Elephas maximus indicus: one gene and its partner. The protein of the gene in region 1 interacts with the protein of each later gene in a biochemical or structural test. Links are inferred from orthologs where the notes say so. Each region holds a gene or a part of one and is shown on either strand. Other genes may lie near its edges.

What was found. The genes of interacting proteins can lie anywhere in the genome.
Region 2: of the proteins of MAPKAPK2 (region 1) and ZFP36, one has a biochemical effect on the other in vitro, tested with the Homo sapiens proteins (2 studies listed by BioGRID). The link is inferred for Elephas maximus indicus from reciprocal best matches to the Homo sapiens genes MAPKAPK2 and ZFP36.

The regions. Positions count from the first base shown.
Region 1 is NC_064836.1:16,408,361-16,415,183, reverse strand, and holds the start of MAPKAPK2 (MAP kinase-activated protein kinase 2), read right to left. Parts: upstream 3,012-6,823; 5' UTR 2,683-3,011; coding exon 2,404-2,682; intron 1-2,403. UniProt on the Homo sapiens protein: Stress-activated serine/threonine-protein kinase involved in cytokine production, endocytosis, reorganization of the cytoskeleton, cell migration, cell cycle control, chromatin remodeling, DNA damage response and transcriptional regulation.
Region 2 is NC_064829.1:112,055,031-112,062,458, reverse strand, and holds ZFP36 (mRNA decay activator protein ZFP36), read left to right. Parts: upstream 1-4,953; 5' UTR 4,954-5,027; coding exon 5,028-5,051; intron 5,052-5,872; coding exon 5,873-6,820; 3' UTR 6,821-6,925; downstream 6,926-7,428. UniProt on the Homo sapiens protein: Zinc-finger RNA-binding protein that destabilizes several cytoplasmic AU-rich element (ARE)-containing mRNA transcripts by promoting their poly(A) tail removal or deadenylation, and hence provide a mechanism for attenuating protein synthesis.

The DNA of each region.
Region 1 (6,823 bases):
TCTTTCCTTCATACATTCCCAAAAGAGCAATCTCTCCTCCCCACCACATCTTCCTCCTTTGGTTTATAATCAAAAACTCCTGGTTTTGAAAAGCATTTCACTACTCAGCACCTAAGGTTAAGTTAATCAAAAGTCAAGATCTAGAAATCTCTTTGGTCTATGTCTCTGGAGCAGAATTCTTGGAACCAGACTGCCCCCACAGCTGTAATTACACCTTAACCAGTATTGGGATATGGAAGGGCTGTTGACACTGCTGTCACTCTCCTCATGCCTCATCCTCCTTTTTTCCTCTATTATTAAGCTTTTACGCAAAGATGTGTGGGAAATCTACAGTTTAACAGTTGAGTCAACTTGTAAGGTCTGGGAGCAGGTTGCCTGTCAAAACAGACTCTGACTTCAATCTTCACCCACTTCTAACTGAGAAAGATAAATTATGCTCATGAAAACCCACTAGACTCCGTGTGTCATTTAAACATTGTTATATTTTTCCTTTCAAAACTATTCAAAAGTGAAAAAGCCAACTCTCTTTCCCCGATTTTTACAAAAGAACCCGAACTGCCATCTAAAAGCAGACTAGAGGGTAGTTTTGTGTGTCTATTACACATACATGGAGCAGAAGTTGAGAGCTTTTGTTCTGAAGGTCTATACAACATTCTCTCCATCCAAGAGAATGAACAGCCAGTGTCCCCAAACTGCGGATGGGTGACAGCAGATGGCGTCTCAGAGGGGATAGAAAACTCTCCTGGAAAGCATGTCTGTCACTTCCTCAAGGGTACAGGTTAACTGTGGTCAAACTGTATTCACTCAACTCTGTTCCTCAAGGTCAGAGCCACAGACAAGACAAACATTCCCTCTCCCTTTCCCGGTTCCAAGTATGGAAAGAAGGGTCTAAGGCACAGACACCAACACTTCCGAGACACACATCTACTCCCTCTACAACACCCAGCATGAGAAAACCATCAAGAGCCCACAGCAACGGCTAATCATAAAAACCAAAGAAATCTGAAAGAGTTCAGGCTAGCGGAAAGCTCTCCCCAAAAGAGAGGATGGAAGCAACAAGAAAACCATTTCAGAGACCTTAAAATCTGGGAATTGCTCATGCTTGCCCTCTACAGCCCCAAAGTGCCAGGTTTTTATTATATCTGATTATATATTCCAACAGTCTGCCCATAACTCATATCTGAGTTTTGTATTTAACAGCTGAAATACTGCCAGCTGTGCGGGTGGAGGGGAAAGAGAAAAATATAACACAGGAAGTATTTTCTCCTCCTCCAATCATTAACACGGCCCAGGGGAAATAGACCTGGTGTGTCACCTTTAGAGATGTGGTTTGACCTGAAACCCCTCTGAGGGAGAACACCTACTTTTTGGTGACCCTTGAACGACTGGCTCACACTGTCTGGGGACCCACCCCAACTCATCAGACCTCCAAGTCCATTCTATTTACCTTCCGAAGTGTTCTCCCCTACCACGCCCCCTCAAAAAATAAAAAAAAAATGAAAGGCTGGGTTTCCCCAGCCCAAGGCTGACGCTCGCTCCTACTGTCCATCTCCACGGCTAAAGAGGCCACCTCCGAGTCGCGGAATCAGCACGGAGCCAAGCCCAGGTTTACAGATTCGGTTTAGGAAGATCGATGGAGCCATGGAAACAGCAGACACCCGCCGGAGCCTGCTGGCCTCCCATCTGGAGCCGCACAAGCACCGGAGGTAGGAGGGGGCCTGCTCTAGGATCAAAACAATCCCTCCCCCGCGCCGGGGGACGGTATCCCCGCGGAATCTCCAGCCTTGCCCCGGCGGGCCAGCGCGCCCCGAGGCGGCACGGCCGCGCTCGCGAGGCCCAGGGAAGTGAAATCACACATTCCGGCTCCCAAATAAGGAGCGAGGCTAAATAAACCTCAGAGATCCGACTTCTCCAAACCAACCGACCAACCAGCTCAATGAGTAATGGGCCTTCTGTGCCCGCAGAAAGACAGAAAGGAGGGAGGAGAGGATGGGGAGCCACGGCCTCCGAAAATCACTTCCTAGAGACGGGGTTAAGCACAATTGGTCCCAAAGCCAACCGTCCCGATTCGGCAGGATCCCGCTCAAACCCCAAAATGGCAGAGTCCGCACGAGTCGTCTCGAGTCCCCGCCACTCGCGCCCCGAGGTGACCGGAAGCCCGGCTGGGCCGGCAGCGGGTCAGATCCGACCTGACCTTCCCGGCTCGGCTCCCCGGAGCCGCGCACTTGGCACCACTCGGGCACCCCGGCCGCCCCGCTGCGGCCACTCACCCCGCCGGCGCCGGACGCCCCCGAAGGGTCAGCAGATGAAGTGAAGGCGACTCCTCGCCCCCGCCGCCCGGAGAGCAGGGGGTCGTCCCGGGAGCGCCCCTTCTCCCTCCCCTCCCCCCGGCCCTAAACCTACTTTTAGGGCGAATTTCTCCTGGGTCCGCTTGTTGAAGATCTGCAAAACTTTCCCGTTGATCCCCAGCCCCAGGACCTGGGTGGTGACCTTGTAGTCGTCGGTGATGGCGTTCTTCTTGATCTGCAGGCTCGACTTGACGTGGAACTGCGGGAACTGCGGCGGGGGCTGCAGCGGCGGCTGGGCCGGGGGGTGCGGCGGAGCCGGGGCGGGGGGCTGCGGCGGCGGCGGCGGGGCGGGGAACAGCACCGGAGGAGTCTGGCCTTGGGAGTTGGACAGCATGGTGCCCGGAGACGCGGGCGCAGGGGCCGGAGGGCCCGCGGCCGCCCCCTCCTCCGGCTCCGGACCGGGTCCCCGCCACCCCCCGCCCGGCTGGAAAGTTTGCTCCGGGCTGGAGCCGGCTTCCCCGCCCCGGCTCGGCTCCAGGCTCGGCGGGTCGCGGGGCTCCGTGGGTCCCGCCGTCCGCCGCTGGCGCCCACCGGCCCTCGTCCCTCCCCCCGGGGGCCTGGCGCTCGGTGGAACGCGGGACGGCGGGGGCCGGCCGGGGGGAAGCGGCCGCGCGACAATGTACCCAGCCCGGGCCGGCGGCCGCGTCACAGCCTCGTCTGCGTCCGGGGCTGGCCCTTAAAGGGGAGGGCCGGGGGCGGGGCTTGGGGAGACGAGGCGGAGCCGGGAAGCGTGGGTGTCTTAAAGGGGAGGACGCGAGGCGCCTGCAGCGTGGTGGGCCGCGCCAGTGGCTGGGAGGCGCGAGACGAAAAGGGGAGATTTTAGTTCTTCCCCGGTACCACACAAAGGGAAAGGGGTGGTGGAGGAAAGCAGCTACATAATTCAGATGGAAAATCCACTTTTCTCCAACCGTCTGGGTCTTTTAGAACAGCAGCAGCGAATTGGAGGAGGGGGTATGTTTTGAAGGAGAAGGGATGGCAAGTGTGAGCTTGATAGGCGCTCAGGAGTTTGTTGAAATCACTGGGGCCGTTCATCCTAGAAACACGTGTGATACTAATATTAGATATTTACTTAATTGAACAGTTCCCTCGTTTACCTATGAGTTTTGGATTTATTTCCTCATACATGTATTGTTTTTCATATGAATTTAAAAGGATGCGGGATGGGAAGAGGATGGGTCGAGATCCAGATCACCTGAAATCAGGTGAGCCTTTACAATTGCCTGGCTGCATGATCAGAGAAAGACAGACTTTGCCCCTCTCTCTCGGTGGAAAGAGTAGTGACGCCTTTCTCATGGGCTTGTGGAGAGTATCAGGTAAGATCATGGAGAAAAGGGAGAGTCTGGGGAATAGGTTCTGATTTCCAACGTGGAAAATGTTTTTCCTGAACCTACAGGCATAAGAAGAAGCAGGCGTTTCTGAACAAGCCTAGTTCTGGCCCAGGGTAGCCCCATGTATCTGAAGAAGATGCCAGCGAGCTAGGGGGTCCCATAGCATAGCCTGGATCAGGGCAATGAGTGGGAGGCCCTGAATATAAGCTGCCAGGAGGCCTGGGCATGCATTCTGGTGGGGCCTGGGCATGACTATCAAATGCATCCCTGCTGACCTCCTCCCCTCTCCGACTAGTAGGGCAGTTGAGAAGTAAGACACAAAACCTCAGCTTAATTACTCGTGGGCCAAATTAGAGAATGTGGCTTGACCTATGGCCACCATCGCCCCTATTATGTCCCTCCACAAGTCCAGAGCCCCCTGTCAGGGGAAACTCAGCTTAGGGAGAAGCAGAGAACTTCCTGAGGACCAGGCTTTTGAGGAGGGAGCCCAGGAGAGGAAGGCACAAGTACCAGTGACTCCTCCCTCCCTCACCTTTCCCAGAAGACATTTCTCCCGCTGGGAGGCCAGAGTGAGGGGGTGGAGGGAAGGGCAGGAGTCGCTGTCTGGCTCTGTCCCTCCTGAGACAGGAGGGCTTGCTCTACAAACCAAGGAGCACATTCATTCTTTTTAAGGAGCACTTATTTAGTGCTGACTGTGTACATGGTACCATGCAGTGATGGATGGTGTTAACAATTTTGAGGGTAAGGAGACACAGACATGTACTAGATATCTTTAGAGAGGCACAGACCCAGCCCCGGGAGCTGAAGGAGTAGCGATCCTCTGTCTGGGGTAGCAGGGAGCTTCCTCCTGTGCTGTAAGGACGGGTAGGGTTAGACACCTCCCCTGAGCTCCCTGACTCTTCAAAGACAAAGAGGCTACCCAAAACCACAGGGGTTGGAAAACACCTCCACCTCCCCAGTTCTAATGTATTGCTATCACCTGAGGCAGGCTTGGGAGATCCCCCAAAGAATTAGGGTCACAAGGATGGGGGGAGAAAGGCTCCGTCTGATCAATTTCTTTCTCAGGTAGAGGGGTCACTGGTCTGGGGCTGTTCAGGGCTCCGGGTTGGCCTTTTTCTCTCTGCAGAGGAGTAGGGGACAGGGCTTCCCCTTGCTTGGCATTGCACTTGACTGGCTTCTCTCACAAGGCTAGGAAGAGTATAGCTCCTGGTGCTCTTTCAGAGGCAGCAAGGCATAGTGGAAAGAGAATAGAAATCAGAGACAAATGACCCGAATTCACGCCTGTCCTCCAGCTGAGTTATCTTGAACAAGCCATTTAATGTCTCTTTATGTCTAGAAAATGAAGAAAATAATAAAATCTGCTTTCAGGGTTGAGTGAGAATCCACTGAGATAGTGCACATGAGAACCCTTCATAAACTGTAAACTAAATTATCATGAAGTGTTAAATATTATCATTATTTGTATATTGCTGGCCTTGCTCCCCTGTGCTGAGCCCACTGCCTAAGGGTCTGTCCCTGATATCAAAGCCGCCTTCCTATCTAGCTGGGGCTCTGGGGAGATGCTAAAGCCTGATGACCTAGGAATAACATGACAACTGGAATCCTCATGGAGTTGAGAAGTAAGGCAGATTAGCCCTAGAGCGGCATGCAGGACTCTAAGGACACATAGACAGTGCACAGAGATTACATATACTACACACGCAGCCCCAGAAAACACACACATGTATGTGCCTACCTGAAAACCAAAACTAGATCCATTGACCTCAAGTCAATATCAGCTCATGGCAATCCTAGTGTTACAGAATAAAACTGCTCCGTAGAGTTTTCTTAGCTGTAATTGTTACTGAAACAGATTACAGCAGTACTGCTGGGTGGGTTCAAACTACCAACCTTTAGATTAGTAGTCAAATCCAGATGATTTGCACCACCCAGGGACATTTAACAAAAAAAAATGCCTAAATGGATGAATAACTGAGGAGCGAGCTGGGCTAAAGGAAGAAGCACTAGGCAAGGGAACCAGAGTCCATTGTGGTATTAACTAGCTATATGACCTCAAGAACATACCTTACCCTCTTAGTTCCCTCTTCTCATCTGTAAAATAGTGATAATAACATCTGCCCTGCCTACCTTGGAGGGTATCTTAGTCATCTAGGACTGCTATAACAGAAATACCACAAGTGGATGGCTTTAACAAAAGATGCTTATTCTCTCACAGTCCAGTAGGCTAGAAGTCAAAATTCAGGGCACTGGCTCCAGAGGAAGGCTTTCTGTCTCTGTAGGCTCTTGGAAGGTCCTTGTCATCAGTCTTCCCTTGGTCTGGGAGCATCTCATCACAGGAACCTCAGGTCCAAAGGATGCGTTCTGCTACCGGAGCTGCTGTCTTGGTGGTATGAGGTCCCTGTGTCTCTCTGCTTGCTTTTCTCTTTTATATCTCAAAAGAGATTGGCTTAAAACACTAATCTTGTAGATCTCATCAGTATAACTGCCACTAATCCTGGTGGCGTAGTGGTTAAGTGCTATGGCTGCTAACCAAAAGGTCAGCAGTTTGAATCCGCCAGGCGCTCCTTGGAAACTCTATGGGCAGTTCTACTCTGTCCTACAGGGTCTCTATGAGTTGGAATCGACTTGACGGCAGTGGGTTTGGTTTGGTTTGGTTTGGTTTGGTTTAATCCATCTTATTAACATCATAGCGTTAGGATTTACAACACATAGGAAAATCACATCAGATGACAAAATGGTAAACAGTCATACAATACTGGGAAGTATGACCTAACCAAGTTGACAGATACTTTTGGGGGACACAGTTCAACCCATGACAGAGGGTTATTGTAAGGATAAAATAAAATAGTTTCCCATAGGGCACAAAGAAGTCCAAAGTCCTACTTATATAATAGCAAGCTTTCAGCTGCCTGTAATGAGCTACTTAATAAACAGTTTTTATGGATTTATAAAAACTTCAAGGGTTAAAAGTCTATGCCAATAGAAAGTACTGTTTTTATCTACAGTTGACAAGCAAACAGACGCTGTGCAAGATAGTACACAGACAATGTAAGCAGCTCAGGTACACAGAATGGATTACTTATAATCATTGATTCATGACGTCGCCTCATCACTGGATCGGTGGCCCTTGTGCCTCCACTTTTATGT
Region 2 (7,428 bases), on another chromosome or scaffold:
AAACATGACAAAGTAGAACGTGTTATCTGATAGCGAGATGCTCCAAGAAGAAAAATAAGGCAGAGGAGTGAGATCAGAAGTAGAGATTTATAACAGCAAAAAACTTGGTACTTAGGAATAAGTCTAAGGCAAGAAACACAAGAGGAAAATTATTAAGCCGTTGAAAACCATTAAAGTTGAAGAGCTTAGGTTGGGTAGGGGTTTCACGGATATTAATTACTATGGTGTACGAACGGATGTTACCTGTATTTTCTTGTATTTATTATGTTATATAGATAAGATGGAAACCACAGTGGTGTAATGGTTAAGAGCTACAGCGGCTAATCAAAAGGTCAGCAGTTCAAATCCACCAGGCACTCCTTGGAAACCCTGTGGGGCAGTTCTACTCTGTCCTATAAGGCCGCTATGGCAACCGGTTTATAGATAAGATAGAGCCCTGGCAGCGCATGCGGTGGTTAAGAGCTCAGCTGCTAATCAAAAGGTCAGCAGTTCCAATCCACCAGCCACTCCTTGGAAACCCTAATGGCGCAGTTTTATTCTGTCCTATAGGGTGGCTATGAGTCAGAATTGACTCGATGACAATGAGTTTTTTTAAAATATAGATACACAAGATTATTATCTAAAAAAGGAAAGTTTTTTTTTTTTAACCTTTGACACAAATTAAGGAAAGCCTCACTGAGGCAATACTGGAGCAAAGACTTGAAGTGGGAATAAGTCATGTGAGCATGTGGGGCAAGGGCATTCCACAGAGAGGGAACAGCAAGTGCAAAGGCCCTGAGGTAGGGATGTGCTGTTGTGTTTATTGAACAGCAAGACGACCTGGGCCACAGTGAGGGGGTGGGAATAGGACAGGAAGTCGAAGCAGATCATGGAGGGACTTGGGGAGAACTTTGTTCTTACTAGGTTATTAGACCGAGTCCGGTGCACAACCACACACTCCAGGGAAGGGTGTATGTGAGATACACAGCCACTCCTGTAGGGAAAAGACCGTGGGGGATACACCCCATCCCAACAGAGGATACCATGATCTACCATCCTACAAGCGCGGTGTCCCCAGGGACCCTGTCACAGTGGCTGCACCACAAACTCTCTGAAGAAATAATCCAATGCCATGAATACACAAACAACCCTCTACCCAGCACTTAACCCGCTATCTGTCACCCCATCGCAGACTTTGCCCATCACAGGCTGACTCAGCCCTGCCCTCAGCCCAACACTATCAGAGGCAGTGTCGCTGGGCATAGATAAGGCCGAACACAGACGCTGCCGTGACTTCTCAGGTGCTGGTGTGTGTGCGTCTGCTCTGCCCACGAAGGCAGACACACCAACAACAACAGGGAGGGGGGCCCCCGCCAGCCGCCTCCCCATCACGCGCGCTGCAGACGTCAGGAACCAAGTTCACCAGTTTCACTGCCTTGTGACGGGGCCACAGGGGAACCACATCCAGACACTGGCCTACCATATTCTAATGCACACGCAATCTGTGACACCAACAAATAAGGCCACAGACGCATGTGAGCACTGTTCACACACCTGGTGATTACACACAAAACTGCCACAACCACACACACGCAGATGGGTGAGCTTACACACAAAGTTGTGTGTGCACAGCCCATCACACCCTCACACAGTTGAGGCCCCCATGTGGGGCACACACAGTTGTACATAGTTCTACAAGGCTGAGAGCACCTCTAGTCACACCAGAGGGCACACACCCGCGCCCAGGCATCTTCACGGAGTTACACACACCCTCAGCCACTCCAGATCCTGCCATGGCATACAGCTATACACAGATGTACAAGCAAAACTCCTGTCAGTCACACGTTGTCATGACTGCCACCTCAAAGCCAGATGCACATAGAGTTCCCACACCCACAGAGGGTTAAAATATGCACAATATGGTCAACCGCACAGGCATAGGCAGTTTGGCACACTTATTCACACACACAGTCACGTCTCATGCACCTTCCACCCTCGGTCTCACACAGCCGGTCATGCCGGGGCACACGCCTTCGCACCTGCAGCGCACACGCTGTTCACACTGCCGCGCGCGCGCGCGCGCGCGCACACACACACACAGGTCCCACGCTCCCTCTCCCCCACGCAGTCGCACACCCAGGCGCAGACAGCCAGCCCGTCCCCCAGGCACACTGGACTCACACCCAGTCAGTCCCGCCGGGCGCACACACGCCACAGGCACACACACGTGCTGCGAGTACGCGGCCCCCAGCTCGCCCGCCCGCCGGCCCGGCCGCCCGCCCGCGCGCTCACAACGGCTCTCACACCCCCGCGTTTCCCGTCCCCGCTTGTTTTTCTGGAAACTCTGCTCCCCGCTCCCCTCCCCCTAGGCCGGAAGTGTTTGCTGTATTTTTAGCCTCTCTGGTTTCCGCCCCTACCCCTCTCCCCTAGCCGCTCAGGACCTGCCCCCAGCGCCTTGGCGGGGGACCCCGGCCGTCCCCTTCCCCAACATCATTCCAAAGGGGATTCCCGGCCGCCGCCGCTGGGGCCGCGGATTTTCCCGCTGGCTACGTCGGGAGCGGGGAGGAGTCCAACGTGAACTTCCTCCTGGGCTGGGACGCCTGACCCCCGGGGGTGGGGGTGGGGGTGGGGGCGGGGGCTGGGAGCCCAGACTCCTGAGTCTGAGCCCGGAGGGGCCTGGGGGTCCGAATTCCTGGGTCTTGGGGAGGAGGGGGCTGGAGGCCCGAACTTCCAGGCTTGGGGGAGAAGGGGACAGGGGGCCGGGACTCCTGGGTCTGGGGGAGGAGGCTGCTTGAGAACCTGAACTCTTCTTTCGCGAGGAGGGGCTGAGATCCCGACCCCTGAGCCCCACAGGTCCGTGTTCGGGGTGCGGGGGGTCAGTCTGTCCGCCCGCAAGGTCCCCCCCTTAAGTCTTTTTGGCCCGGTCCCAAGCGTCCCGGCTCTCTGGCGGATGACTCAGCAGATGGGGGAAGGGAGGGAGGGTCAGCCTGACTCAGGGATGGGAAATGCTCCTTTTTTCCAGGGAATCGGAACGGGATTCCTACTCTAGGACCTCGGCCAGCGTCTAGCTGGGCCCCGGAGACCCCAGGGTGCCCCCACCCATGTTCTCCAGCCGTAGTCCTGTTAGCGGCACCGGGATTTGGAGTCCCCCTGGGAGGGGGCCCGAGGCACCACCACCCCATTTCCCGTTGTTTTGTAGGCTCTGTTTACAGAAGACAGAAGCCCTGGTTACAAGAGAGGAACCCGGGCGTCCGGCCCGAGCCTCCTCGTCACGGCTTCCAGGAAGCCCCCTCTCCCCCGCCCCTTGCAAGTGAGTCACGGGCAAGCGGGAGGCCGCAACCGTGCCAGAGCCGCCCGCGGCCGCTCAGTTCACGAGACCGGCCTGGGAAGGCCCCTGGGCCCCAGAATGCGCTGCACCAGGGATTCCCCCCGTGCTCCGAGGAGCAAATCGCCGCGGAGTCTGGCACAATCTCCCCACCTCAGTGCAAGCCCGCTGCCGCAGTCTGCAAGAATGAATTTTCCGTCATTATAACCCCTCAGTGACAATGGTTTCTTACCGCCTCACCCCTCTCCCTCTCCAGTTTGCGCCTAGGGCCCTACCCATTGCCTTCCAGTCGATTCTGACTGCCCCATAGAGTTTCCAAGGCTGTAATCTTTACAGAAGCAGACTGCCACATTTTTCTCCTGCTTGGCAGCTGGTGGCTTGGAACAGCCAACCTTTCTGTTAGCCCGCGAGTGCTTAACCAATGTTCCCAGGTCCACAACCCCCTTAAAGAACAAGCTTTCTTCCCATATCTTAAGAGAGTTTTCACTCAGGACATCCGCCTGACAATAAGAGACTTGCCAATGTGGGGAATGATCCTCAGCATAGTTGGAGTTCTTGAGGCCAACACCATGATAAACCTCATCCACACATCAGCTGGGGATGACTCATTTCTCCAATCTCAAAACCACTTTCAATCAAGGCAACCCTCCATCATAACAAAAGATCTCTTCCCCCTTTCTGTCTTCAGGATTTGCTCAGAGAGCAAACCTGTAAATATAACTTAAGGTACTGATATTTGGGCCGCTGCCGCTTAGTATAGCTGGGTAGCAAAGGGAGTAACTTTAACTCTGTGCCTCTCTTTTACACAAGTTTCCACTTGTGTAAAATGAGCATATTAATACCTGGTTGACTCATAGCAGTGATAAAGTGAAGGTATATAAAGTACTTAGAAGAGTGCCCAGCCCAGAAGTGACCTAGAATCGTCATCAGCTTCGCGAAGACGAGGGGCTACAGGGGCCCTGCTGAATTGAGAAAGGAGGCCCCTTTCCAGCCTGGCCAGGTAGCCGGGCCACCCACACAACCAACCCGCGAGTGGGGGCGGGAGGGCGGTCGGTCCAGGTCTCCGGATCTGTGTTGCTTGGAAGAGTGCCAAGGGCAGGTCTGGGAAGAGAACTCGCTTCCAGCCTACTGCGCCCATTTCCCCGTTTTGCCCCTTGGAGTTTCTGTCTCCCTCTTCGTGCGTTTATCACTGTTTTTCTCTGTCTCTTTGTACGAATCTCTCCATCCTGCTTCTCATTCTAAACTTCTCTCTGAGACTGTCTCTCATGATGTTTTCTGTCTCCCCACCTCCCCTCTCTCGGTGTGTTTCATCCTGTATATGTCTCTCTCTCCATGTCTGTCCCGCACTCACGCACGCACGCACACCCTCTCTTTTGTCTGTCTGTTCCCTTGTCAATTCCCCGTGGACCTCTGACCCGCCTCCGCCCCTGCTCCCTTCTTCGCGCCTCAGTCTCCAATCTTGAAAACTGGGCCGACACTCCGCACCCCACGCACCCCCCGACTGTGGGCCGGGCGGAAGGGGACTAGTCCAGGACTGGCGCGGCCCGCGCCGGGGGCGCGCGTCCGGGAAGCGCCCTCCTGATCCCGCCCCCCGCCCCGGCCCCGCCCCGATTAGCCCCACCCTCTGTCTATAAGAGGGTGGCCCTCCAGCCCCAACGCAGCCTCTGACTCCATCTCTTCTACTCTCGGCCGAGCCCTCAGCTGACCGGCCCCCAGCTCCGCCATGGATCTCACTGCTATCTACGAGGTGAGCCCCCGCAGCGGCCACCCCCTTTCAAACTAGCGCTCCTTAGCGCCGCAAACTCCGGCCCGGAGACCCTGGCTCCCTTCTCAAACTGAGGCTCCTTAGTGCCACCCACTCCGGCACGGGGTCCCTGCCTTTCTTCTCAGACCAGTGCGATTCTCTGGAGGCGAAAATGAAGCCCGGGACTCCCGGATCTCGTCCCCAATATGGGTGCGGTGACCCTGGAGATAGAAAGCCGGAGGATTTTTCTCCGACGAGGGCTGTCTAGAGGCGGAAACGGCCCCCGAACCTGGCTTACCCCTAGGAGTTGCTGAGGGCGCGCTTTTGCGCGTAGGCGGTTCAGGGGCAAGAGTCTGGAGGGGGAAGCCGACCTCTGTTCCTTGCCTGCCTCCCTCCCTGTCCAGGGGAAGGCTCTCAGAACTGAACCAAAGGGATCCGGACTCCGGGGTTAACTTTGACAGGATCTTCCAGTTATCATACTGGCGATCTAGGAGGCATGGGTCAGATCCGCGGAGTCCCAGAGGCTCAAAATTGGGGGACAGTGGTGTGCCCTGACTTTGGGGCCCCCTCTGTGCCCGGGATCGGAGAGCCCAAATTCCCGGGTGCCCCGGGGTAGGCTTCAGTCGTGGATAAACTCCAAGCCTCCAAATCGAGATTCCTGGAATCGCGAAACCCCGGGTTTCTGCGGGCGGGTGGGGCTCAAGTCAGAGCCCACAAACCCACAAACCGGGCGGGCAGGGCAGGCTCTTAAGGTGCCTTGCCCTGAAGCTGGGGCGGAGCGTCACCCTCCATTTTCGGTGTCTTAACCGCCCCCATTCCCACAGAGCCTCCTGTCGCTGAGTCCTGACCTGGCAGGGACAACCCGCGGAGGCACTGAGTCCAGCCTGGGATGGCCCTCCTCAGGACCCTGGAGCTCATCCGATTGCAGCCCTGCCGGCGTGGTCCCCCGCCTGCCCGGCCGCTCCACCAGCTTGGTGGAGGGCCGCGCCTGCGCCTGGGTGCCACCACCCCCAGGCTTCGCACCCCTGGCTCCACGCCCAGGCCCTGAGTTGTCACCCTCACCCACCTCGCCTACTGCAACCCCGGCCACCTCGTCCCGCTACAAGACTGAGCTGTGTCGGACCTTCTCTGAGAGCGGGCGCTGCCGCTACGGGGCTAAGTGTCAGTTTGCCCATGGCCTGAGTGAGCTGCGCCAGGCCAATCGCCACCCCAAGTACAAGACGGAACTCTGCCACAAGTTCTACCTCCAGGGCCGCTGCCCCTACGGCTCGCGCTGCCACTTCATCCACAACCCCAGCGAGGACTTGGCCACCCCTGGGCACCCCCACGTGTTGCGCCAGAGCGTCAGCTTCTCTGGCCTGCCCTCCGGCCGCCGGGCTTCACCACCACCAGCGGGCCTGCCGGGCCCTTCCCTGTCCTCCTGCTCCTTCTCGCCCTCCAGCTCCCCGCCACCACCGCCTGGGGACCTCCCACTCTCGCCCTCTGCTTTCTCTGCTGCCCCTGGGACCCCTGTGCCCCGAAGGGACCCCACCCCAACCTGTTGCCCCTCCTGTCGAAGAGCAACTCCCAGTCTCTGGGGACCCTTGGGTGGCCTGGCTCGGAGCCCCTCTGCACACTCCTTGGGATCCGACCCTGACGACTATGCCAGCAGCGGCAGCAGTCTGGGGGGCTCTGACTCACCTGTCTTCGAGACGGGGGTTTTTGGGCCACCCCAGCCGCCTGCAGCCCCCCGCCGACTCCCCATCTTCAATCGCATTTCCGTTTCTGAGTGACAAGTCCTCCCTAGTACAGATCAGCTGGATCACAGAGGGGGTCCATTTCTCATGCTGTGGACGCCACAAAGGGCCCTGGGGCTGTGGGGAACTGGGGGAGCCCTTGATCAAGTAGCCCCCTTCACCTTCCCAGATGCATTAACCCACTCTTCTGACCCTGCCCTGGGGCAGGTCCCCAGTGTGCCAGCTGGACAGTGTTTATGGTGTGGGAGATGGAGTGTTTGCTGGGTTCTTTAAAGACAAGATGTAGCATATTGGAGGGAGGCAGTGGGGTCCCCAGCTCTCCCCTGCCCAAATCGGTCTCTTAGAATCTCATGTGCTGTGAATAATAGGCCCCCACTGCCCCCTCCCAATTTTCCTAGACCTGAGGTCCCAACGCCTGGGGGTTAGTGGAGCCTCCCCTGAGAGGGAATCCTGGTGCTCAAATTTCTCTCCAAAAGCAAGCAGCCAAAGCCGTTGCCACCCCCCCGCCCAAGCCAATGGGTCTTTTATTTATGACGACTTTATTTATTCTAATAGATTTTATAGTATTTATATATATTGGGTCGTCTGCTCCCCTTGTATTTTTCTTTCTCCTTTTGTAATATTGGAAACAATGGAATAATTAT